Callithrix jacchus: one gene and its partners. The protein of the gene in region 3 interacts with the protein of the main gene of each other region in a pairwise test. Links are inferred from orthologs where the notes say so. Each region holds a gene or a part of one and is shown on either strand. Other genes may lie near its edges.

Region 1 (4,160 bases), on a different chromosome or scaffold from region 3:
GTTTTCCTTGAAGGTGGAATAGATTATTTCTGAGGAAGTCAGGGCTCTGCTTGGCTCGTTCACAACATTTCAAGGGAGTCCAAAAGAGGAGAATGATCTTAGAGAGCGGCGGGTCCAAGGGCGCTGGTGCTCTCACATGCCGGCTTTCATTAACAGGAGCTCGCAGAGAGCAGCGATGGTGGTTTTGGCCTCTCAGATGAACGTTCCTTTTGTAGTTCCTTGTGCATCCCGCATTTTACTAGTTTGACTTTCTTTGTTTTCCCTTCACTATCGCCGATGACCGAGGAAACTGGGAGTTAATTCCAGAGGCAGTGGAGTTGCTCTCGTTGTCTGTGCTGACGGGAAATCCTGTGCCTCTGTCCTTCCCCAGTGTTTGCAGAGGCCAGTGATGGCCTCTGTCCCCCGTGCACCCCAGTGATGGCCTCTGTCCCCCGTGCACCCCAGTGATGGCCTCTGTCCCCCGTGCACCCCAGTGATGGCCTCTGTCCCCTGTGCACCGCAGTGATGGCCTCTGTCCCCCGTGCACACACAGACAGGCAATGTCCCTTTGCCTGTGTCCCAGGCTCTGTTCTCAGCAAGTGATCCTAGCCCCAGCACGGGTGTGGGGGGAGTGAGGAGGTAGGAGTAGTGGGGACCAGGGGAAGTGGCAGCTGTTCACAACTCTGCTGTCTCTTTCTGAATTTAATGGGAGGGCCTGTCTTCTCAGCTTGCAGGGAAGGAGGGTCTGAAGCAGCTCCACCGTCACACATTTAGGGACCCCTGAACTTAAATGACAGAACGCCCTGACCACTCTGGAAGGCACTGTGTTCCTGTTTGTGTGCTTGACTCTTGTCGGTGGAATGGCTGTTGTGGAGGCGATCACCTGTGAGATTTAGACAGTCGGTGCAGGTGCACACGTCCCTGCAGAGATTCTGGCGAGGCTGAACACTAGTAAAAACATACTGGCACCTGCTTGTTGCCTCCGGAGTCAGTAAGGATGCCACAGTCATGCAGGTAGTGGGATTCGAGGGAAGGGGGCAGGCGGGGCATGCCCTCCGGGGTGGCTGAGGACACCTGGTGCGTCCACACGCCTTCAGAGCCGTCTGCCTTGGGAGGCCTTTTCAGGACACGCTCAGGGAGCACCCAGACAGGCAGTGGCCCTGTGGATATTGGAATCCTAGCCCTTGGTGGCCCTTCAGTGACTTGGTCCTTTCTGTGGCCGCTCTGCCTCTGTGCTCTTCAGTCCCTCATGGTAGAGGAACGCGTCCCTCAGCTACTCCCATTTTCCTACATTGACACTTGGTGTAACTAGAAGCCGCCTGTGAAATTTTAGTTTCAAAGCATTGTCTGGTGATGAGCAACCCAGGGCAGTGAATCATCCAGAATTTTCTTATCTAATAAACATAATAAGATCAACAAGGACTTTAGAAAGTAACTCACTGGGTTCACGAAACTGAGCGTGGCGCCCCGTGGGGGGTGTTTTTTGAGTGCTTCCCTGGAATGAGTGGTTACTTCACGAGTGACTTCACACCAGCTTTCAGGACAATGGCAGCTTCCCAGGCATTCCTCCTTCCAGGGTGATGATCTCAAGGGGTGACTTCATGCACTGGGGACAGAAGCTCATTACAGAACCATGTATTCGGGAAGTGTCTCAGTTCTGAGTGCCTTTGAGTGAATTTGCACTTCTGTTCCCACCCAGCCCTGCACTGTGTGTTAGAGGCTGTGGGCCTTGGGAGGGAGGCTGTGGGCGTTGGCACACACCTTGAGTCTCTCCCAGCCCTCCCTGACCCCGCCTTTCCCTCCTCAAGGCTACCGGCTCTCTGACCAGTTCCACGACATCCTCATTCGCAAGTTTGACAGGCAGGGACGGGGGCAGATCGCCTTCGACGACTTCATCCAGGGCTGCATCGTCCTGCAGGTGACCAGTGGCTTCTCGTGGGTTTGCTGTGGGGGCGGGAAGGGGTTGCCCACCCACGAGGTGCGCCTGACCATTGATCTAAGGAATCAGGCGTATGTCGAATTAGGTTTTGGAGCTTATAAAAGTTAGTCTCATCTTTGGAGAAGTAGCTGGTTAGTGAAGTGTGGACAGGCATGTTTTCCTTCCCTTGGAAATGGCATAGAGCAGCCCATCTGGAAGACGCCATTTAGGTGGTATCTGGTGGGTTATTTACACTTATGTCCTGGTGTATTTTTTTTTTTTTTTTGAGATGGAGTCTCACTCTGTCACACAGGCTGGAGTACAGTGGTATAATCTCTGCAACCTCCGCCTCCTGGATTCAAGTGATTCTGCCTCAGCCTCCCCAGTAGCCAGGATTACAGGAGTGCACCACAATACCTGGCAGATTTTTGTGTGTGTTTTTTTTTTAAGTAGAGATGGGGTTTCGCCATGTTGGCCAGGCTGATCTTGAACTCCTGAGCTCAGGTGATCTGCCCGCCTCAGCCTCCCAAAGTGTGGGGATTGCAGGTGTGAGCCACCGTGTCTGGCCAACTATGGCGATTTTTGCAAAAATTTTTATTCTGAGAAAATGGACACGTTTTCTGTTGCCTCACCTGTATCTCCCTGTGCTGGCTCCATCAGGAGATGGCATGTGTGCTCCTGAAGTTGGGCCCCTAATGTCTTCCTCCCAGTGCACCTTGTTCCCACATCTGTCGAGATTTAAATGCCTGCTTTTTCCCCAGAGGTTGACGGATATATTCAGACGTTACGACACGGATCAGGACGGCTGGATTCAGGTGTCCTACGAACAGTATCTGTCCATGGTCTTCAGTATCGTATGACCCTGGCCTCATGAAGAGCAGCGGGACCGACGTATGGAAAAAAGAGCCAAAAAGCCCAAGTTCCTACCTGTGAGGGAATGGAACGCGGATGCAGTGAGATGGTGTTCTTCCTTTAGATTTGACCACGTGGGGACCGGGCTGTACATATGTGGATACGCTGGTTAATGCGTCTGCAACCCTAACAGGAGCTGTATCATTATAACACAAGCCTTGGGTTTGGTGACTGTCTCATTGTGCCATGAGGTAACTGCAGTAATGTTTCAGGCATTCTGCTTGCAAAGTCTGTCATGAGCTTTCTAGATATCTCTGGTCTATAGTGGAAATGCTTTTATTAGTCAGTAGGAATTTTAAAGTCGCACAGAACCTGCACACAGAAGGCTGTTCATGTGCCTTACTTTTTAAAAAGAGTTTATTGTAGTCATTGGAATATGCAATGTACACAATAAAGGGATGTTAGACGCGTGGTCCGCCTTCAGCTCAAATCAAACGGGTGTCAGAACCAAGCCCCACGGCCTGGTCATCCAGACGGTCACTGTCAGATGTGCTGGCTCACTTGGGACCTCCCAAGGTCCTGGACACCTTCTGGAACGTTCTTCAGCCCAGCGTGCACAGCTCTGCTTGTGAAAATCCAGAGGGATTGTCCCACCATCGGTTGAGGTGGTTACATTTCATAAAACTGCTCCATTTGGACGAAGAAGTCTAATTTGGTTTAGCAGGTCATGTATTTCCATCATGAATGATTTAGTCACGCTCTGCCCTGCGTCAGCCACAGTCTTCGCACGTGGCCAGCCAGCGCGTCCCCTGCTCGCCTCAGCCCTCCCTGCTCAGTGCTGGGCCCTCCTGGGTTCACGCTCCCGGGCCCCACCCCGTTCTCTGGACGCTGCCCTCCTTACACAGCCTGGTGTCAGGGCTGCAGCCTCGTCTCTGCCTTGACGCTGCTCCTCCCATGCTGGCCTGCACAGCTTTTCTGTTTTGATGTCTCAGGATCTTCTACCTGTTCAAACCCCTGCTCAGCATGTTCGGGGTGACAGGTAGGGGGCGTGGTTTCCTGGAAAATATCCCCATTTCTTAACACTGGACAGGCGTGCTGGGGGGCTGGGGCTGTATTCGCACTCCAGGTGGGACCCCCTCCCTCCCCACCACCCACCTGCGCTTGTCCTGGGGCCCTCTGGCTACAGATCCCTCTGGAGCAGGCACTCCTGGCTCCCCGGGGATGGGGGGAGGAGGAGGGACATGGGCTTGGGAGTCTGGCTGCTCCCTCTGGCCACACCGGCAGCCTGTGCTGGCCCCTTCTCAGGTGCCCAGGCCCTGTGTGGTCCCCTTGTCTGCTCCATGTTGGCCACTCTGCTGGTCGAGCCAACTGCCAGGCTGCGGGAGATCTGTGCCCACAGCTGTCTGTGCTG
Region 2 (4,563 bases), on a different chromosome or scaffold from region 3:
GACCCTGTCTAAAAAAAAAAAAAAGTTGATCAAATTAAGGCACACATTTCAACGTCACAGAGGTGAAAGTTAATGTATTATAAGTGGAAGAAAACAGGAAAAAAATTGCTCTCCTTTACTGTTTCACATGGGCAACTCTCAAAATTTTGTTTTGGGTGCTTAGAATACACATTATAAAAAGAAAGAATTATACCTATAGCTAGATGGCCAATTTATCACCAGTGATTCACTCTTCTCTTCCACAGCATAAGTTGTGCACAGCGGCTGCTCAGCCAGGGACTACACTTCCCAACCAATTTGCCTCTTAGAGTCACGTAACTGGGTACTGACCAACGTGATAAGGGCAGAAATGACATACAACACCATCAGGCCTAGTGAGTAAAACCTCCCATATGATTCTTCATACTCTGTCTTCACTCATCTGCCTGCCAATGTCAATGCCTACGGTGAGCTTATGAACAATGTGTTTAAGGTAACAGCTTCTTTCAGCCTGGATATCTGAAAGATGTCTTGACTGTTAAACCACTCAGATTCTAAGATTTCTAATTCTATCTGCTGGCATTACTTTAAGCCAACACTAACACAGACATTATATGTATTGTATCATTATGTGATAAGAAAATCAGATTAAGTAGTGCCAGAGATGTTAAGAGGTAAAAGTATTTAACAAGGATGGTGTGGATAGCAGTGCTAAATAGTGAGGTCAAGATGAAATACACTGCAAGTAAGTTCAATATAAAATCACACATTGGGGTCTGTTGGCAGGAAATAGGGGAGGGACTGCAGAGGGGTAGGAAGGTTGGCAAGGGATAACATGGGGAGAAATACCAGATACAGGTGACCGGGGAATGGAGGCAGCAAAGCACACTGCCATGTACCTACCTATGCAACAATCCTGCATGTTTTACACATGTACCCGAGAACCTAAAGTGCAATAAAACGTGTGTGTGTGTGTGTGTGTGTATATATATGTATTATATATGTTTATATTTTTTATATACACACACACACAGACACACACACACACCCCATTGGTAACCACCTAAAAAGAAAATTTCAGCAGAGATGTTAACAGAGAAGGCAGGTTAAAGAATAGGAAATGGCCGGGCGCGGTGGCTCAAGTCTGTAATCCCAGCACTTTGGGAGGCCGAGGCAGGCGGATCACAAGGTCAAGAGATCGAGACCATCCATGTCAACATGATGAAACCCCACCTCTACTAAGGATACAAAAAATTAGCTGGGCATGGTGGCACGTGCCTATAATCCCAGCTACTCAGGAGGCTGAGGCAGGAGAATTGCCTGAACCCGGGAGGCGGAGGTTGTGGTGAGCCGAGATCGCGCCATTGCACTCCAGCCTGGGTAACAAGAGCGAAACTCCGTCTCAAAAAAAAAAAAAAAAAAGAATAGGAAACATAGTCTAATACTATAATCCGTGTTTGCTAAAACATTTTTCATGCAAAACCTATTTCCATAAAAAGAGTTTTATCGACAAATGAGTCTGGGAACACTGTACACTACAAATTTTTGAAAACTTACATAAGAACATTACATATTCTGAAAATTCCTACAATAAAGAAACACTTTTGTCTTTGTTTAAACCAGCTTTCCCACACTTAGTTGACCATGAAATCCTTTTTCATTCAATACATACTACAACCTTTCTTTCACTGGAAAATCAGAATAGAAAAGAAAAATTTTAAGCTAAAAGAAACCAGAATTATATGGACAAAAGGAGAAAATGATGCTTGTGAAAATGTTATAACACTTAAAATTCCCTTCTAATAAACCACTTAGCTATTTTCAAATGATCAAAAAAAAGAGTCCAATAAAAATGTGCAGAACAACACATACAATACTTAAGACTTTAAAGTCAGACATTGTAGTTCATTCCTGTAATCCCAGCACTTTGGGAGGCGGAGGCAGAGGCAGGAGGACTGCTTGAGCCCAGGAGTTCAAGGTGACACTTATCTGATCACACCACTGTACTCCAGCCTGGGCAACAGAGAGGCTCTGTCTCTTTATAAATAAATAAATGAACAAACGTTTACAAATAGCTTTAAAAACACTCTTACCTTCATCTTTATACTTTATTGTTACTTCGTCATTACTCAGAAGTTTTCCTCTGAAAACTCGTTGCATCATTAGCACTAACTCATCATAAGTAATATCTTCATTATGAATAGGAATTCGCCGAATATCCTCCCCAAGTTGAGCTTTGATGATTAGCTTCCCACTCAGATCCAACTGTCCATTCATGGTAGACTCCAGGATGTTCTATATATAGAACTCTAGAGAAAGGCTGATAAAAGTGGTTTTGATAATTAAACAACAAAACATTTCTTAAAAGTTGAGAGTTACTACTAGATGCTAAGAAACTCTGGCCTCCAGAAGATTCATTATCCCCATGTTACTGTATTTGTGTTAAAATGGCCTGGAGGCAACATTATTTTACTGTAGAGATAATAAAATAAGCTTTTATTTTATGTCTACTATTATTTTATCTATGTTTAACTGTTTATCTGACATTACGACTTAGATTTTTCTTTACATCAAAATAAATTCCTAGTCTTCCCCACCTATGCCTCTCCTATAGGCTTCCCAATCTCACTTCCTCTGAGTTGTGTAAGACAAAAAAAATCTTGGTTGATCTTTTTCTCAAACCTTACATCCAAACTACCAACAAAATATGGTTGCCACTACCTTTAAAATAACTCTGGAGTCCAACCACTTCAGCACCTTCACTGCTATCAACTTGATTCAAGCCACTATTATTGCTTACCTTAATGACTGGAAGACTCCTAACCAGTTCGCCTGCTTTTTACCTTTGCCCACTTTTAATCTAGTCTCAGCACACCAGAGTTAAGCCAGTTAAATAAAACCTAGTATCATTCTGTTCAAAACCTTCCAATGCATTCCCATATCAAAAACCAAGACCTATAAGGGCCCCCAGCCCCTGGCCAAGTATTTAACTTCATTTCCTACCTCTCTTCTTCACTCACCGTCACACCCACACTTCAAGTTTTCCCCTTGTCTTGAACCTTTCTGGTAGCCCTCATATGATTCAGATTACTTATTAAATGTTAATTTTTGAGAGGTCTTTCCTAACCATCCAATTTAAAATGGCTCCCCCATCATTATCTTATCCTGCTTTTCTTCGAAGCACTTAACATCACCAGACATTAAAATTTTGTAACTTTTTATTGTCTTTTCCACTTGATGGTACGAAGTTTTTCATACTCCCAGAGCCTACAAGAGTGCCTAGCAGACCGGAAGTCATTCAACAGCTGTTAAATAAAGGGAAAAATAAATACTGGCTTCAAAACGCTATTATCCTACAACAATAAAAGCTAACTCTATTTGAGTTAACTCAAATAGAGCCTCAAGTTTTTCTGAGAAAGACCTCATGAGGATGTTCTTTCCTCTCTATGTGGAGGAACTGGAGGAGAGAGGACAAATTAGTAATACCTACCTGAACTTTTAAAGACCATCCACTACTGTGCTGCTTACTCCATAACTTTCCCACCTGGGTGGGTGTGATCTGGACCGCATTCTTTATTAAATAAGACAGTATCAAACAATTAGCCGCTAAATACTAACTTGTTATAGAATTTTCCCTTAGGTTTTATTTTAATCTTTAATTTTATTCAGTATGACTATCCTGTAATGACTGCGTATTTTTATTTTTATTTTTTTTTGAGATGCAGTCTCACTCTGTCACCCAGATTGGACTGCAGTGGTGTAATATGGGCTAGCTGGAACCTCTGCCTCCTGGGAAATGATTCCCATGCCTCAGCCTCCTGCGTGGCTGGGACTACAGGGATGCACCACCATGCCTGGCTAATTTTTGTATTTTTTAGTAGAGATGGGGTTTCACCATGTTGGTTAGGCTGCTCTCCAACTCTTGACCTCAAGTGATCCACCCACCTCAGCCTCCCAAAGTGCTGGGATTATAGGCGTTAGCCACCAAATCAGGCCATGACTGTGGAATTTTAAATTCAAAATAATGTTGAAGGTCTCTAGCAAGTTAAATGGTTGCTAAATAATAACAGAGGATATACTTATGATCAAATAATGGGTTAATATTTCTTCTTCTCAAGGCCAAGATGTTCCTGAATGTTATCTATAATCGCTGAACATTTTCTAGGCATCAACTCCTTCCTCCTCCTGCTCCAAGAAAAAGATCTCTTGAGACTTTTTAAAGTGTTCTACAACATTCTAGTTTCAGCTTCCCACCTCGCTAATAAGCAGCTTTCTGTTTCCTCTTCCTAAGACTGTTGTTTCATTAACACCACACTTCTCTGCAATTATTCTTTATTCTTTTGGGGTATGTGAAAGCACTCACCTGCTCCTCCAACACATCAACCCTTCAAGTACTTGAAAAAAGTTTTCATGAATCCAATTTCATAAGTATTATACATTAATGCCCTACTATTCTTCATATAAATACCCTAGGTCATTTCATCTAACTAGTCCTTAAATGAATTATCTTTAGAACCCCTCCACCATGCTCTGAACAGATAGATATTAATAAATCTTTACTGAAATGGGTCATTAAAACCAAAT
Region 3 (4,563 bases):
CTCAGGAAACGCAACCTCCTCACACATGACTGTCCAGTGAAGGGCTCCAGCCTCCCAGGTCCCATGGATCTCTCCTCTGTCTGAGGCCACTGCACTTACTCTAAGAGTGCAGGCTCAGCTTGGCTCATTTCTAATCATTTCCTTCCACCCTAAGCAACTTGAGAGCAAGGCATGTAGCTTCTTCCAGATGTCCACAGCCCGCTGGCATGCAGGAGATACTCTGTAAAGAATTACTAATTCTCTTCTGTTTTTTGTTTTTTTTTTTTTGAGATAAAGTCTCAGTCTGTCACCCAGGCTAGAGTGCAATGGAACAATCCAAGCTCAATAAATCTCCGCCTCCCAGGTTCAAGCAATCCTCCTGCCTCAGCCTCCCAAGTAGCTGGGATTACAGGCATGCTCCACTATGCCCAGCTAATTTTGTATTTTTAGTAGAGAGTGTTTCACCATGTCGGCCAAGCTGGTCTCGAACTCATGACCTCAAGTGATCCACCCACCTCAGCCTCCCAAAGTGCTGGGATTATAGGCATGAGCCACTGTGCCCAGCCTAGAATTACTAATTCTCTAGCAACAGCTTCATTCATACAGCCAGGTAAAGGAAGTGAGCTTCTCGTGATGACATGCCCACCATCATCAAATGCTACTGAGTCTAAGGTGGGGATGTGGTCCCATGGTGCAATTTCAAGGCTTACATGAGTTCAGAATTGGAGTGTTAGACCAGGCAGTTGAATATATACTTTGTCAGACTTGCTCTGCTGCATAGTGATACACAGTGGCTAGTGTTAAACAGACACTTGACCTGCACTGCCTCACTCAATACTCACTACTTTCTTGGGAAGGAATGATTATTTTCTCATTTTAAAGACAATGGAGCTGGGGTGCAGGGAGGTTTAAGGAAGCTGTTCAAGGTCACTCAGTTGGCAAATAGAAAAGCCGGACTCCAAGTGGCGTGATCCCCAGGGCCCTTGCTCTGAATGGCCTTCCTATGTGTCCTACGTCATAAACCTGAGTGCAAGAAGTGCTTAGTCAGGTCAGCACATGAGTTCTCACTGACAGATTGTGGAATCACAGGGTAGCCGGAACACTGAAGGTCAGGGTCAAAGTTGGGGAGGTCCTGAGTATTCTCTGATGCTGCTGGGGGACGCAAGGTGGGGGCGACAGCAAGGTCATGACCCACCTGCCCTCAGAAGCTTATAATCTGTTTAGGGGCAACGGGATAAGCAAGTCCAAGGTCCACAAACAAGATGCCCATACATGGCACAGGGGCCAAGCATATGGCCACTTCAAGGAGGAAAGGTCCACAGGTGACTGGGATGCCAAAAGGAAGCCCAGTCTGGCTGTAGCAGGCCCGTACCGAGATGTCGTGGTACAGCGACTTGCCATACATCCGCTTATACTCCGATCTGATGTCCAGTAGGTCAGTCTCGCTGCGAGACACCATGATGCGAATCAGGGTCCGGTCCTTTGTTCCTGCACCCTAAAGAGAGTCCACCCAAGAGCATGAGCATCAGGCTTCCTCACTTCCCACCCGCCCTGGGCCCTCCAGTCAGTCCCCTCCCAACCCAGGTTCTCAGAACTCTCGGCTGAGATTTAGCTCTCCCCAGGCCTACTACCCTCAGCCCTTGGCAAAGGCGAGGCTAAGGCATCCGGATCTACACATGCAAGTTACTTACCCTCATGGCCTTGTTGAGCCTCTCCGCAAAGAAGGCTGGGGTATTCTTGAGACATTTCACTAGAAGAGAGAAACACGGCATAACCAGATCTGCAGAAAATTCTCAGCCTAAGCCAGGCATGGAGTCTACAAGTGTCCTCTTAGAGGCCCAGATGTCAAACCCATCACTGCATCCATCTTTTCTCCTCCTCCTCCTGTTCCAGACTCAACTATCCTACGATCTTGGCTCCAGTTCTTTGGAACAGTAACACGCAGAAACAGGATACCAACCCACCCTCTTTCCTGGCAACCACTGTGGTGAAAAAGCAAGAGCCAGAGGGGAGGGGGTCTTCGTGAGGCTAGGAGCTGCGCAGGGAAGCCATGTGGATGGTGATGAGGAACTGTGTTGCTGCTCAGGCAGGAGGGGCAGACTGGAGAGGCTGTGCCCTTCATGGAGAAACCGTGCTGAGTGGAATGAGCATCTCCCTTGGCTGCCCAGGCCACAAGACCTACTGTGGGGGCAGGCAGGGAAAGGCGGATTTTCCAGCTCTCCCATCCAGAAAGTTTCAAAAAAAGCATAATGAAAAAAAGGGGCAGACTGATTTTCCCAAGTGAGTAGAAAGAGAGGTTGTGAGGGCCTCAGGGTGGGGACCCAACTCTGCACAGCAGGGAGGGACCTGGAGCCCGCCAGGCCCTGCTGGAGGACACAGGCTGAGTAAGAGGCACACTACCACCTCTGAGCCAAGCCAGCTTTCCTCAGCATGGGCCTGTTTCGCTGTTGCAAGTAAAAATCTTTCCACGCGTTTCCATCACAAACATCTGACAACTGTCTGCAGGGATGTATTTTTAGAGGAAACTTGGCAGGATATGAGTCATGCTCCTCCGGGAGTGCTGCTGGATGCCCTCCCACTAATACCCACACTGCAGTTCCCTTCTCTAGGGCTGTACCACAAACACAAACAAGATGCCTCTGGGACAGCGAAGGGTTCCATTGCATAGGGAAGTGGCATGACTTCCCAGCATCTGGACACTCTGGGTTGAGCAATCTTGGCTCCTGTGGTCCTTTAACAATGTTACCCCTAAGCTAGAGGACAGGCGAGCACCCTGAACACTCACAATACACATTAGTCCCTGGCAGGAGGGCAGGCAAGCCCAAGACACTTACCCACGGCCAGCATGCCCTGCTCCAGGTCCCCAGACATCTCCCGGCAGATGCTCTTCTCAATGTCCCGGCCTGTCATTCTCTGGTACTCATTGAAAACTAGGGGGATGACATAGAGAGGCTTATATTATGAACTGAAATGTGTCTCCCCGAAGTTCATATGTGGAAGTCCCAACTCCCAGGACCTCAGAATATAACCGTATTTGGAGACAAGATCTTTAAAGAGGTAATTAAGTTAAAACATGCTGCTAGGGTGTGCCCTGATCCAATCCGCCTGGCCTCCTTAGGAGAAGAGGAAGTTAGGAGACAGAGACCCCAGGGATGTGCGTCTGCAGAGGAAAGACCATGTGAACACAGTGAGAGCCACGAAGAGGCAGCAGGAAAAACCGGTGCCGCTCTTGGACATCCAGCCTTCAGAATGTAAGAAAATGAATGTCTGTTGCTTAAGCCACCCAGTCTGTGGTATTCTGTCATGGCAGCGTGAGCAGGCTAACAGAGGACTCACATGAGGTGACCTCTGCCCTAAGACCCCCTGCCTTCCACTCTGCTCCCTCACCCTGCATGGCCCCAGGCCTGCCCAGCTCTCAAGAAAGCCAGAGTCTTCATCACAAGTTATGTGTGCTGCCTAGTGTCCCTCCCTGTAGTCCCCTTCTCAGGACTGCCAATCTGTTTAACCAAATAACACCTTAATTCCCCTCCAGGGCTCACTCCCATTGCACCCCAACACAGTGTCCCCTCTTCTCAAATCCCCCACACCTCCAGTCTCTGCCATGCCTTGGCCTTATTCATGCATCTGTGTCTTCCTCAACCTGCCTGTGAGCTGAGGCCCAGCCTGCCCCAGACAGCCTGGCTTTTTGCTGCCCACCCCTGCCAGTCCAGCTCAACCTAGGACATGCTAAGCACCCACGGGAGTGGACGGCTGGCTCCTAAAGAGGCAGGCGGCATGATGGAGACCTGGGTCCTGAGTCCAGCTCTGACGCAGGACATAAAACTTTCCTTCCTCAGCCTGAGTGTCAGCTTCCATTTGCATACTAAAGTCATGATTTCTGCTCTATCTTTTTCGATTATTATCTCTTCAAATCAGCTCTGCAGTTCCAGAGCCACAGAAACCTTTGACAACCAACAGCTCTCTTACCTTCCACATCCAGCCCAGACCTCTCCTGACCTCCACGCACAGCAACCCAGAAGCCTCCCTGTAGCTCCACCCTACAAGCACCTAAAGCCAGCTCTACCTACAGCTCCCCTATCTCAATTGAGGGCCACTCCATTCTCCCACCGCTTGGCCTAAAGAAACCCTACATAATCCTCAACACCTCTCTGTCCCACATGCCACGTGTCCAATTCATCAGCAAACAGGGCTGGAACGTGATACCCCTCACCACAAGCCCCTGCCGCCACTGTTCCTCCCCTGGGCTCCTGCAGCAGCCTCCCAACAGGCTTCGCTGCTCAGCCATGCACCCTTCCCTCCATTCTCAGCACCGCAGCCAGGGATTCTGCACAGCCTCCTCTGCTCAGGGCCCTCCAGTGGCTTCCTGTTTTGCTCAGGATAAATACCCAATTCTGGGAAGTCATCAGCAGGGCCCTCTCTCCTCTCGCTCACTCCATCTGCTCCACACAGTCCCCCTTCACTTTCTCAGTCGTGCTGGGAGCCCCGGGCAGGCTCTGTGCCTGCATCTCCTTTAGGGTTTTAAATCAAATGTCATGACCTCAGTGAGGACTGGCCAAGCACCTCCCGGTGGATCCTACCGTCACT
Region 4 (4,563 bases), on a different chromosome or scaffold from region 3:
TTATCTTCCTCTCCAGTTGTGACCCCAAAAAAAGTCTGCAGATCTTGTCAAATATCCCTGGAAGAGGGGGGCAAAACTACCCCCAGTTCTATACATATGTAAGTCATTTGCTAGAATTTCAGAATTATCATTTTTTCATAGGATACTTTGGCCCTAGAAATGCTGACTCAAAGCCATTATTTTGGGCCATCTACCTAATGCCTTCTCTCTTTCTCTTGAAGGCTTGCCAGAATCTTTATGTAGGTGACTCTAGATCATGGTTATTTACTTTGATTTTTCTCAGATATTAAAGCATATTTTCCATCTGAGTTTTGAATGGTATGGGTAAGGCTATTTACAGCCTACTAACCCAAAATAGAAGTGGTTGTGCAACCACAGATATTTCATTGAAAATTCTCAGAAAGATAAAAGCATATCTTGAACATCACGGATACAGATATCTATGCTGAAATGTCAACATATAGATAGATAGGTTAACCCCAGAACGCTTGACGATTCCATTTTTGGTGCAGTTATATATCATTTCACTTTTTTGCATTTCAGGACCTCCAGGATATGCTGGCTACCCTGGGCCCCAGGTCGGCTACCCTGGGCCCCAGATCGGCTACCCACCCCCACCAGCTGGCCATCCAGGTCCTGGGCCAGCTGGCTTTCCTGTCCCAAATCAGCCAGTGTATAATCAGCCAGGTGGAGCTGCAGGGGTACCATGGATGCCAGCACCACCGACTCCATTAAACTGCCCACCTGGATTAGAATATTTAAGTCAGGTAATTTGAAGGACACAACATACTCATAAAAAAACAGAACTGTGCTTCCAGCTTGAGAAACCAGATTAACAAATGAATAATTCATCAAAGTCTGAAATGGCAAAACTACATTTTCTGCTAACAGTTTACTGTAATTCTTTTAGGTCAGGTTCAATTTTAAAGCAAAATACAAATGCCTTAGAAAATAGTATTTTCTGTGATCCTAAATACAATCTGTGATAATAGCCAATAGCAAACATTTAGTTAGTACTCTTTTCTTGTTTTTGTCATATACATTATCCATGTATTAACTCATTTAATCCTTACAGAAAATCTGTGATATATAATGCTACAGTTAGTTCCGTTTTTCAAAAGAGGAAACTAAGGTCCAGAGAATTTATATCTCTCACTCTGGGGTGAGAACCTAAAGAGTTGAGAATGGTTTTTCAATCCAGAAACTTTGGTACTGGGCATGGTGCTCTTTAATCTCAATACTGAATAATTGCCTTATAATTTGAAATAAAATTTAAATATAGTTTATTGTTGAGTTTCAATAAGTGGCACCAAACAAGGGGTTAATATTTTATGTGCAATATGACACACCTTTTTATTTTAACTAATAAAACTACATTTTTATGATGCTGCTTTTGTTTTTTGAAAGATCCAATTATATAAATGTCATTAATAAAGGAGTAAAAAGTCCTGGATTTTGTTCCACTAAATTCTAATTAGTCTCAGCAATAAGAGGTTTAACATTTATGTGGTGTTAGAAATCAAGTAGGTCAAATAGAAACAAGAAACTCTGTGTGTTCAGTTTATACAAATAAAAACAAATATTCTTGTGATATTCAACCAGTTTTTATTTCATGAATCATTTCTTTCTTGCACTGTGTTTAGTAACTTAATTTCTCACAATGCACTTAAGTGGCACAATCATAGGAATTTTTAGTCATTATTATATCATGCAAGAAATATATAAAAATAGGTATTTTAAAAATCAGGGTCGTAAAATACATAAAGGATGTTATCACATATGACAAAGGTTGATATTAAGTATGATTAATACAAATTTGAAACGTGTAGAAAATTGATGGCTAAAAAAGTTATCAATATTTCTTGAGCCTCTTCCAGAAGAAAGATTGTTATCTACTTTTAAAATTATTTGACACATAGTACTTGTACATATTTATGGAGTACAGTGTGGCACTTTAATGCACATAGACTATATGTAATAATATAATCAGGGTAATTAGCATATCTATCACTTTCAACATCTTATCATTTTTAGTGTTGAGAACATTCCAAATCCTCTCTTATAGCTATTTGAAAATGTACAATAAATTATTGCTAATTATAGGCAGCCTACATAGCTATAGAACACTCGAATTTATTCCTCCTCTCTAGCCATAATTTTGTATTCATTAATCAACTTCGGGTTATACCCCTCCTCCCTACCCTTCACAGTTTCTAGTAACCACTGTTCTACTCTCTACTTCCATGGGATCAATTTTTTTAAGCTTCCATGTATAAGAACATCCAGTATTTTTTTTTTTTTTCTGTACCTGGCTTATTTCACTTAACATAATGTCCCTCAGGCTCACCATGCTGCTGCCAATGACAGAATTTCATTCATTTTTATGGCTGACTTTTATTCCATTGTGTGTATTAAGAATGAATTTTTCAGCTGGTCATGCCTGTAATGTCAGCACTTTGGGAGGTCGAGGTGGATGGATCACAAGGTCAGGTATTCGAGACCAGCCTGCCAACACAGTGAAACCCCATCTCTAACAAAATTAGAAAAAAGTGGCAGGCGCCTGTAATCCCAGCTACTCAGGAGGCTGAGGTAGAGAATCACTTGGACCTGGGAGGCAGAGATTGCAGTGAGTCCAGATCGTGCCACTTCACTCCAGCCTGGGTGACACAGTGAGACTCCATATCAAAAAAAAAAGAATTTTTCTGTATTCATTTATCTATTGATGAACACTTAGGTTGATTCTACATGTTGACTACTAGTGCTGCAATAAGCATGACAGTGCAGATACCTCTTTGACATATTGATTTCCTTTCCTTTGAAATTTTTGTTTTGAAAATTTTGAAAAATTTGAAAAAAATATTGTTTTGGAAAAATGGTAGTAGGATTGCTGAATATTCAATTTGGTAGTTGTAATTTTAGTTTTTGAGGAAGCACTACATAATGGCTGTCCTAATTTACTTTCTCACCAAATCTTCCCTGCTCCACATTTTCACTATTATTTGTTAGTTTTTGTCTTTTTGATAATAGCCATTCTTAATTGGGCAACAATAATATCTCATTGTGGTTTGGATTTGCATTTCCCTGGTGATTAGTGATGTTAAGCATTTTTTCATAAAAGTACCGAGCGTTTGTATCAATTTTCTAGTTTTTAAAGTTACTCCAGTGTAAATCAATTTTATTTGATCTAAATTTCCACACGTTAATTGTAAACACAATATTTTATTAATTAAAAATATTAACTTGTTTTACACTAAAAAGTAATATAAGCTATTAAATGTTGATAATTGATTCCCTGTACTTTAAATATATAAATACATGAATTTTAATTTGGTTGGCTTAAAAAAACCTTCATTTAACATATACTTACCACTTTTTTTTTCCTATAATAGATAGATCAGATACTGATTCATCAACAAATTGAACTTCTGGAAGGTGGGTGTTCATTGTATTAATCTTATTTCTAAAAAGAATAAAAGTTTATGCAGATAAAGAAACATCAGATTTCACAAATATAACACTCTCACTTATATGGGACAGTTAAACTGGTTATCTACTATAACAAAATAATAAACATCAGCAATTCATTTCTAAAATTTAGGAATCAAAAAGTAAAATGCCATTATGCTGGGCACTTTCCTCGGGATATTGACACTAACTTAAAAGGAAAATAGTCAAAACCTTTATTTTGCTCCTCTCTTCATACATCACGTTTTATCTGGCTTCTACTACTTAAACTGTTTTCTCTGTAATTATGATCAACTTCAGAATGGCACGGAGTCATATTCAAAAGTAAGTTATCTTTTGTGTTTGGATGAGAAAATATTGGAAAATTATCATTTGTTCCCACAGTTTCTCTTAGGAGTTAAGATGAACCCAAGAAAACCTTTGTATACCAGGTTGGATGCAGGGCACTGTGGCATTGGAGAATGCTGACCAACTAGCCTGCAGGCTTGGCTTCATAGAAGAGCACTCCTGCTGAATGGCCTTACATTTCCGTGGGTCCAGGACTCCTTAGGTGCAAGAATAAACTTAGGAAGACAATTACTGTTTTACAATAGCTGCCAGGGGAAGAAGACCCTGGGTAGATTTATGAACCATAGTGTTTTCTTTCTAGATATAAAAGGTTTAATAAAAACTCTACCAGTTTTTAGGAATATGTATGTTAAATTCATTTTCACCTGTCTCCAGGCTTCTTTCCACTGGTAAAAATTAGAAATTGTACAAGCAGAATAATGGATTTGGCTAAAATATACAATTGTCATCTATTAATTTATTTATAATGCACATTATTAGACAATTAAAATTTATCTGATTTTTAAAAATCTAAACAAAGCTCTCTCTGGAAGAGAGCTTTGTATTCTGAATTTTTTAATGTTTTATGGTATATATTATTAAGGCTATAAAATCCAAACAGATGTATAACCAAACATCACACAACCCAGTATCTATCTTTTTTTTTTTGTATATTTATAGGCTTTATAAATATTTGTTAACTATGTGTTAATTATGAAATATAAAGTTCCAAATCTACTAGTTTCTAATTTTGCTTTTTTCAAAAAAGAA

What was found.
Region 1: the proteins of ANXA11 (region 3) and PDCD6 interact in binary tests that used the Homo sapiens proteins (3 or more experiments, as listed by UniProt). The link is inferred for Callithrix jacchus from reciprocal best matches to the Homo sapiens genes ANXA11 and PDCD6.
Region 2: the proteins of ANXA11 (region 3) and TFG interact in binary tests that used the Homo sapiens proteins (3 or more experiments, as listed by UniProt). The two-hybrid records come from large-scale screens. The link is inferred for Callithrix jacchus from reciprocal best matches to the Homo sapiens genes ANXA11 and TFG.
Region 4: the proteins of ANXA11 (region 3) and phospholipid scramblase 1 interact in a two-hybrid assay, tested with the Homo sapiens proteins (2 studies listed by BioGRID and IntAct). The two-hybrid records come from large-scale screens. The link is inferred for Callithrix jacchus from reciprocal best matches to the Homo sapiens genes ANXA11 and PLSCR1.

The regions. Positions count from the first base shown.
Region 1 is NC_133503.1:205,761,539-205,765,698, reverse strand, and holds the end of PDCD6 (programmed cell death protein 6), read left to right. Parts: intron 1-1,787; coding exon 1,788-1,897; intron 1,898-2,655; exon of another isoform or gene 2,656-2,658; coding exon 2,659-2,757; 3' UTR 2,758-3,220; downstream 3,221-4,160. UniProt on the Homo sapiens protein: Calcium sensor that plays a key role in processes such as endoplasmic reticulum (ER)-Golgi vesicular transport, endosomal biogenesis or membrane repair.
Region 2 is NC_133516.1:91,882,723-91,887,285, reverse strand, and holds part of TFG (protein TFG), read right to left. Parts: intron 2,300-4,563; 5' UTR 2,257-2,299; coding exon 2,073-2,256; intron 1-2,072. UniProt on the Homo sapiens protein: Plays a role in the normal dynamic function of the endoplasmic reticulum (ER) and its associated microtubules. Required for secretory cargo traffic from the endoplasmic reticulum to the Golgi apparatus.
Region 3 is NC_133513.1:50,366,522-50,371,084, reverse strand, and holds part of ANXA11 (annexin A11), read right to left. Parts: intron 3,231-4,563; exon of another isoform or gene 3,098-3,230; intron 2,910-3,097; coding exon 2,814-2,909; intron 1,730-2,813; coding exon 1,671-1,729; intron 1,475-1,670; coding exon 1,352-1,474; intron 1-1,351. UniProt on the Homo sapiens protein: Binds specifically to calcyclin in a calcium-dependent manner. Required for midbody formation and completion of the terminal phase of cytokinesis.
Region 4 is NC_133518.1:38,664,153-38,668,715, forward strand, and holds part of phospholipid scramblase 1, read left to right. Parts: exon of another isoform or gene 1-543; coding exon 544-767; exon of another isoform or gene 768-3,389; coding exon 3,390-3,432; exon of another isoform or gene 3,433-3,460; intron 3,461-4,563. UniProt on the Homo sapiens protein: Catalyzes calcium-induced ATP-independent rapid bidirectional and non-specific movement of phospholipids (lipid scrambling or lipid flip-flop) between the inner and outer leaflet of the plasma membrane resulting in collapse of the phospholipid asymmetry which leads to phosphatidylserine externalization on the cell surface.